Macaca fascicularis: one gene and its partner. The protein of the gene in region 2 interacts with the protein of the main gene of each other region in a biochemical or structural test. Links are inferred from orthologs where the notes say so. Each region holds a gene or a part of one and is shown on either strand. Other genes may lie near its edges.

What was found.
Region 1: the proteins of ITPR1 (region 2) and CABP1 form a complex in vitro, tested with the Homo sapiens proteins (2 studies listed by BioGRID). The link is inferred for Macaca fascicularis from reciprocal best matches to the Homo sapiens genes ITPR1 and CABP1.

The regions. Positions count from the first base shown.
Region 1 is NC_088385.1:127,678,479-127,682,888, forward strand, and holds the start of CABP1 (calcium-binding protein 1), read left to right. Parts: upstream 1-1,507; 5' UTR 1,508-1,567; coding exon 1,568-2,221; intron 2,222-4,410. UniProt on the Homo sapiens protein: Modulates calcium-dependent activity of inositol 1,4,5-triphosphate receptors (ITPRs). Inhibits agonist-induced intracellular calcium signaling.
Region 2 is NC_088376.1:142,894,080-142,897,885, reverse strand, and holds part of ITPR1 (inositol 1,4,5-trisphosphate-gated calcium channel ITPR1), read right to left. Parts: intron 2,165-3,806; coding exon 2,045-2,164; intron 1,096-2,044; coding exon 898-1,095; intron 1-897. UniProt on the Homo sapiens protein: Inositol 1,4,5-trisphosphate-gated calcium channel that, upon inositol 1,4,5-trisphosphate binding, mediates calcium release from the endoplasmic reticulum (ER).

The DNA of each region.
Region 1 (4,410 bases), on a different chromosome or scaffold from region 2:
TTTTTTTTTGTTGAGACAGAGTCTTGCTTTGTCGCCCAGCCTGGAGTGCAGTGGCCGGATCTCAGCTCACTGCAAGCTCCGCCTCCCGGGTTCACGCCATTCTCCTGCCTCAGCCTCCTGAGTAGCTGGGACTACAGGCGCCCGCCACCTCGCCCGGCTAGGTTTTTTTGTATTTTTTAGTAGAGACGGGGTTTCACCGTGTTAGCCAGGATGGTCTCGATCTCCTGACTTTTTGTGATCCGCCCGTCTCGGCCTCCCAAAGTGCTGGGATTACAGGCTTGAGCCACCGCGCCCGGCCCATTTTTGTATTTTTAATAGAGACGGGGTTTCACCATGTTGGCCAGGCTAGTCTTGAACTCCTGACCTCAAGTGATCTGCTGGTCTTGACCTCCCAAAGTGCTGGCATTACAGGTGTGAGCCACTGTGCCCAGCCTTGTGTATCCTTTTAATGAGGCCGAGCAGTGACCAGACGGTGGATGGCATTGGGGCCAGGGACCAGAACAGGGAGAGCCTGGGAGGAACCCCTCTAGCCCCCTGCAAATCTCAAGCACCGGATACTAAAGAAGAGTGGTAGATGGGGCCTCATGAGATGCAGGGGGAAGGTAACTGGCTTAACTGGATGGTTCCCTGTCCAAGCACTGGGCTAGGCCTTTTGTGTGCATAGTATCGTCTACTGTTACCAAGAAATTAGTTATACTTATCATCTGCATCTTACAGAAGAGGAGAACAAGACTCAGAGAGGTTGGTGACACCTGCCCAAGTTACCCAGATGGCAGGTGGCAGAGCTGGGATTTGAGATTCAAATCAGGCCTGGGAGGCTCTCTGGCTGCCCACCAAGAGCAGGAATTTCTGTAGCATCTAGAAAGGCATGAAGGTGAAAGAGGCGACAAGAGCTGGAGGGGCAGCAAATGGGTCCTACCTGAGAGTTGACCATCATCAGGTGCTGTCCAGACCTGGCTTCTCTTCTATTCTGAGAACTGATATCCTGTGACTGACTTACCAGGCTCGTCCTAGTCCCCCCGCACGATATTGGGAGTGGAGGCAGCCCTCCACGGAGGCGCTGAGAGCCTTTACTCCCAGCAGTGTCCTGTCACTGCATTCCGGCCCCTGCGTTTGTAGGCAGTGGTGTCATAGAGTGCCTTCATGCTCCTCGGGTCTCCGGTTCTCCCTGGACCTCTGTGGTCCTCACTGCCAAAGTTGTACCCCCTGGGGAGTGCACCCTGCCTGCATTTCTGGAGGTTCGGGCGGTTCCGGGACTCTGCAGGAGCCTCCAGGCGTGATAAAGAGCGCTGCCGGCACTCTCGGGGTCTCGGCCTCTTTGGGGCCCCTTGCCAAACCCCTTCCCTCCTCGCGCTCCCGCTCAGCGTTGCAGCGTCCCCTTCGCCGCCAGGGGCCGCCCGGAAGCGGGGCTCCCCAGGGCGGGGCGTGGCAAGGGGCGGGGCGCGGCGGTACCTGGGCCGCCAGGGAGCCGGGGGTGGGCTCTCCGGGGACAGCCGGCAGCGCCCCCAGATCTGCACCGCCAGCCGCCGGGAGCTCCGGGCTCCGGGCATAGAGGCTGCGCTGTCACATGGGCGGCGGCGACGGGGCCGCATTTAAGCGGCCGGGGGACGGCGCCCGCCTCCAGCGCGTCCTCGGGCTTGGCTCCCGCCGGGCGCCCCGTTCTCTGCCCGCCGGGGGCCCCGCGCCACGCCGCACCGCGCCGCCCCCGCCGGGCCATGCGAGCGCGGGCCCCGCCGCGATGAGCTCGCACATCGCCAAAAGCGAGTCCAAGACGTCGCTGCTGAAGGCGGCGGCGGCGGCGGCGAGCGGGGGCAGCCGGGCTCCCCGCCACGGCCCTGCCCGGGACCCGGGGCTGCCCAGCCGCCGGCTAACTGGCTCCTGCCCGGGGACGCCGCAGTCGTCCGGGGACCCCAGTTCGCGGAGGCCCCTGTGCCGGCCGGCGCCGCGAGAGGAGGGCGCGCGGGGGAGCCAGCGTGGGCTCCCCCAGGCGCACTGCAGGCCCCGGGAGGCGCTGCCGGCCGTGGCGTCCCGACCTTCGCCGTCGTCGCCGCTGCCGCCGGCCCGCGGGCGGGATGGGGAGGAACGGGGACTGTCCCCGGCGCTTGGCTTCCGGGGCTCTCTGCGAGCCCCGGGCCGCGGGGACTCCGTTCCAGCCGCCGCGTCCGAGGCGGACCCGTTCCTCCACAGGCTGCGCCCCATGCTCAGCTCCGCCTTCGGCCAGGTAAGGGCCGCGCCTCCCGTCAGCGCTCCCGGGAAAGGCGCTCGGGACCCTGCCGGCCGCGGCTGCGCGTCCACAGCCTCCTCCTGCGGCCCGTGGCCCCCCTCCCCCGGGTCACGCCTCGGCTCACCCGGTCCTCCCCGGGCCGGCGCCCTTGCCGGCACTCCTCCTCCCCGTGCCTGGTTCAGCACCCCGTGCGCTGTCCACGCTCCGGGCCTCTTCGGGGCAAGGCCCTCCCCCATAACCTCCCTCATACCTGCCGGAACCCGCCAGTCCTGGAAGAGAGCGACCTCTATGACCCTCCTGGAGATTTGCGGGGGTCGAGGAGGGGCGCTCCGAGCAGGTGGCGCCAAACCCACTCCTCTGGCCTCTGGCCAGTACTGCCGGGGAGCGACTCAGGAGAGCAAGCGGTTTGGAGTCTGGGGGTCAAGAGAGGAGATCTCAGAGAACACAGAATTACTTGAGGGCGAGGGACATTAGCCACTGCCTATCATGTACCTGAAGGCCTGGGAAAAGTTAGGAGATTCAAAAATATGAGGAAAGAGAAGAGATATCTGGGTAGGCATGGAGGGACATGCAGAGCTGTGGCTCAAACTGGAACTTTGGAGTGGTTTAAGGAGACTGTCACTCCAGGGATGCCATTGTAAGGGTCAGAAAGGCCACGAAGAGGTCATCAGTGGTTCCCGCAACCTTTTCCTCAAGAGTCCCAGGCACCTGGGCACCTGCCCTTTAAAAACTGCTCCGTAGTCACAATCCAGGTCTACAGTTGGGGGCTGTGCTGCTGGGGAGACAGCTCAGTAGAAGGAAACCTCTGAACTCCCGAGCAAAAAAGCCAGGGTTTCCCCTAGTTCGGAGTCTGTAATCAAGTCAAACTCATTGGCACAGCTTTGAGACAGTTCTGTGGCAGCCTCTGAGAGGTGTCATGCAGAGGTCTGATTAGAGCGTTTGCATGGTTTGTAGGGAAACAGGGGGGCCTGCGCCTTTCTGTGCTAAGATCTAAAATAAAGAAGCTGTTTCAAGCTCGTGGCTTGCCACGCCGGATCAGAATTCCAAGGAGGCCCTGTGTGTTTTGCTTCAGATCTGCACATTTCTTTTCAAAATACTACTCTGCAGTGGCTGATGCTGGTGGAGGTCTGACATGAAGGCAGCTGCACATGGATTTGGGTTGCGTGGGGCTGCTGTGGTGGGGCCATAGGGCAGCGGTGTGTGGCTTTGTTCCTGCAGGGAGCCCTCGTTAGCCGAGTTAGCTGGAAACAGTTCTCTGGAGTAGAGGTTTGGATGCAGAGCCGTGAGAGTTAGTGAGGCGATGTGTTAGGGGAGTTCATTGCAGTGGTTTGTGTTAATGAGGAGGTGTAGGCTGTCAGGGCACTAGTGGTCTTTGGATTGGGGCTGGGTTGCAGCAGGAATGCTGGTTTGTTGAATGGGTGATACCGATTCATTCATTTATCAATTACTTCTTGAGCATTTATTAAGGAAACCTTCAGGGGTTTCCTTAGTTCCTGTGGTTTGTTTGTTCAGACATTTGCTAGACACCAGGAGGACAACGGTGAACCAGGTAGCCAGGGCCCTGGCTGAACCTAGCAGTGTGGAACGGCAGGCCATTGGCTAGAATCATACACTTTCTGGTTACTCAGTTTGCTGCTGATCTGACTCAGCTCCTGAAAAAAAAAAAAAAAGAGTCCTTTCTTTCCTGTCTTGCAGAATTTGCCTGCATGAGCCCTTTCTGAGCTCCGAGCATTGTAGTGACGTACTTTTGTTTTTCCTTCTGATTTCTCAGTCATTAAATGAATTATCCAGCCCAATGTTCTGAAATGTCACCAGGGTCACCTGAGTCAGGAGGAGCTGGAAGTTCCCATCAAATATTTACTACCTCCCTCTGGAAGCTCTTGCGTCTCAGAGCTGCGGGCTTTTACTTTAAAGCCCAGCACATTCAGTTTGGGCTTCCATTTGACACCTCCAAGTCACCTACGTGAGCCACAACAACAAACCCAGGCTGGGACTTTTATGTCAGAGCCTCCAGTCTCCTGTGACAGAGAGGAATTAATCTTTTCTTCCCTTTTCTCTGAATTGAGATTTCGGTCCTTAGAGGTAGGGTCAGAAGCAAGAGAAGGCAGATGGGGTTCTGAATACAGAAACTTTTAGTTAAGATCTGCTTAGGACAAAATACAGCCCTGGGGAAGTATAATTTTCAT
Region 2 (3,806 bases):
TGAATGAAAGAGAACAGAATACAGGAGGCAAGAATAGCCATTTTATCTGCAAAGTTTTATTTATTTTATTAAAAACTAATAAAAGCCTTGCTTTATCTTCCCTTTCCCTTTCTTTTAAAAGTATTTATTGGTTCACTTCCCTTCTTTCTTCCCCTTCCCTTCCCTTCAGGTGGCAGGGCTGGCAGGTCTTCGAGCTGGAGCCAAGCAGACACTGGGGACTGAGGAGGTGGCCAGCAGAGGTGAGACAGGTACACACAGGGGAACGGGCAGACAGGGAAACATACAGGGAATCACGGCAGCTGGAACGAGTCATGAAATGGAAAAAATGAAGGCTAGAATAAACCCCATGGTGTTGGAATGGAATTGGAAGTATTAGTGTAAGCACATGATTTTTATTATATATTTGTGTAGTTATAGAAATAGATATGTGGATGAGTATGTAGATATATGTATATACATACATACATCTTCTGGCTCTGTCTATAAACATTTGGTGAGATTGGCACTATCACCTTTATTTTGCAGATAAAGAAATTAGAGCATAAAATCAAACTTGGCCAGTGTCAAAAAGCTGGTAAGTGGAGAGGTCAGGATTTCACCCCACAGCCTACCCCTTACGTACCTACCACCATATCTACAGGCCATGCTGCTTAAGGATAAATTGTCACCAGGGACTGATGTGAGCACTCATCCTTCTTGGGACCCAGCCACATCCAGATGTCAATTGACTGAAATCTTATACTCTAAACTCCTAAAATACACATCTGGCTTTTTTCAAGACAATCTCACAAGATGACACCTTGCGATTCCTTGAAGTAATCAACAAACGAGCAACAAATTCCTAAGTGCCACTGTTTTGGGGCAACCCAATCTGAGCCCCACATGTGTCCCACGCACCTGTAGTAGCTGAGAACGTCTCGGTCCTCCTTCTGCCCTTCTTTAGCGTCCTGCGCCAACTCCCTCACACTCTTGCTACGAATCTCTTTGTTGCTGTCCCTCCAAAACAGCCACACCTCTTCCTCGTCTTCTCCTGCCTCCAGAGCATTCTCTCCAGTGGAAGAAACGCCTTCAAACTCAAAACGAGAAAGAACCAACCTGGAAAACAAGAAGAAGGAAAAACTCTATTTTTTAAAATACTTTGATATCTAGCTTCACTTTCAGCATAAAGACACACGGAAAGCCACTTTTTGTTTTGTATTTCACCCAAGGGCAGAGCCGCAGAGAGCCTGACATTAACATCTTCTTATACCGTAACCCAGTGGTTCTTGACTGTGGTGCTGCTGCTCCCAGTGGACATTAGGCAATGTCTCTGGACAGGTTTTTGGTTGTCACAACTGAAATGGAGAGGTGCTACTGGCATCTAAGTGGGTAGGGGCCAGGGATGCTGCTAAACATTTTACAGTGCCTAGAACAGAGCCACAACAAAGGATTACCCAGCCCGAAATATGAAAATACCTAAACTGAAAAACCCTGCAGTAGCCCAAGCCCAAAACTGAGTTATACATGAGAATCAATGCAGTATCACTAGCTCAGGACATAATTTAGTAATTTTTTTTAAATGTTGCCCATATTACTGGCACTATAGTTCTCAGGAAAACTGTTCCTTTGCCAAAAATGAATTACTACTGTTAAGAAAAATTCTTCAGACCAATAAACACATTCTGAAGAGTAATAACTTAAAACTCCTCCCAACATTGACTTAATCTTAACACTGAATATTAATTATGTCATTTGAAATTTTAGATTGACGGTCACACAGAGAGTTTTAAACTCTTAAAATGTAACTGTGTAAATTGCTCCCCAGTGAGTTTACATGACTTTTAAACTTGTATGCAAAGTAAGTGACACCACTATGCAGAGGAGGCCACACCAAAATCAAATTCAGTAATTCTCCTAATCAAGACTTTTCCAATAGGAAGATCAAATGCCAGCCATGCTGACTTTAGATCAACTCAAAAAACGATAGGGCTAGGTTTTATTCCTCATGAGCGCCAACACGGAATGAACCACATGTTTTCCATCTAAACCCCAGCTCCCCACTCACTTGGTCTCAATCAGGATGTCAGCATTGGTGGGATTCAGTACAGCTTTACATATTAGCTCCTGGGTCACTGGAATCGATTTGTTCATGGAGACACAGAGGTCGGAGAGGTAATCTAAGAATCTAAACGGAAACAGAAACAAAACATTTTCCATAGTTAGAGCAGAGGTTAGGCTCCTGGAGCCCAACCCTTCCTTAAGTGCACAGGTCCAATGTATCTTTACCAAGACATGTCAGCAGCATTCTAGGTCTCGATGCCAGTGTTTATGGCACCACCAGAAACCCACATGCTAGAAAGAAGGAAGAGGAAGCAAGAAGGAGAGACAGTAGTGGCTGTGGTCAAGGAAGAGGTGATGAGGCAAAGGTGAGAAGAAGGAACAAGACAAGAAAGAAGCTCACATAAGGAAGGTGTGGTGGAGATACAGGGGAACCACAGTGGTGAGAGGCAATGCCCCGATGTTTGGCTACCCGTGTTGGAAGCCCGGTTAGGATCTTATTAGTGGAGTTCTGCTATGGAGCGTTAATTTGGGGAAATTACTAATTTCACTGTGCTTTAGTTGAGGCTCATCTATAGAAAAGGATAATGTGTCACTTCTGAGGGCTGTCCTGAGGACTAAATGAGATGATTAACGGGAGTGCTTCCATTGCTCACTAGCTGGCCCGTGAGCAGGCTCCAGAAAACGCGGGTTATTTTCATGGGTGTAGTAGGTGTTTTTACAGCAACTGTGTCTGCGCTCCATTGTAATCATTTGTGACACCCACACTGTAAATTGCTTCCTGCTTCAACTGAAAATGTGGGTCTTAATTAGAAGGACAAGAGAAGGGGAAAGAAATGGGGACAGGGTGTACGAAAGAGGAGTAGATCTGTGTGAATGAGATACAATCAATAGAATTCACTAATCTATAATAAAAATGCTCAACCAACAACTGAACTTGCAAGACTTACTGATTATATTGAGGGAGGGGAGTGTTTAACTGATAAGCAAGGGGTGCTAAAAAGTGAATGAGGCCAAGTGCGGTGGCTCCCGCCTGTAATCCCAGCACTTTGGGAGGCCAAGGTGGGCGGATCACAAGGTCAGGAGTTTGAGACCAGCCTGGCCAATATGGTAAAACCCCGTCTCTACTAAAAACACAAAAATTTAGGCGGGGCGCAGTGGCTCAAGCCTGTAATCCCAGCACTTTGGGAGGCCAAGATGGACGGATCACAAGGTCAGGAGATGGAGACCATCCTGGCTAACACGCACAGTGAAACTCCGTCTCTACTAAAAAATACAAAATAACTAGCCGGGCGAGGTGGCAGGCGCCTGTAGTCCCAGCTACTCGGGAGGCTGAGGCACGAGAACGGCGTAAACTCGGGAGGCGGAGCTTGCAGTGAGCCGAGATCCGGCCACTGCACTCCAGCCTGGGAGACAGAGCGAGACTCCGTCTCAAAAAAAAAAAAAAACACAAAAATTTGCTGGGCGTGGTGGCAAGTGCCTATAGTCCCAGCTACTCGGGAGCGTGAGGCAGAAGAATTGCCTGGACCCAGGAGGTGGAGGTTGCAGTGAGCTGAGATCTCGCCACTGCACTCCAGCCTGGGCGACAGAGTGAGACTCCATTTCAAAAAAAAAAAAAGTGAATGAAAAGAGTGAGATCCAGTCATTTGCAACAACGTGGATGGAACTGGAGGTCATTATGTTAAGTGAAATAAGCCAAGCACAGAAAGACAAACATTGCATCTTCTCCCTGATTTGTGGGATCTAAAAATCAAAACAATTGAACTCAT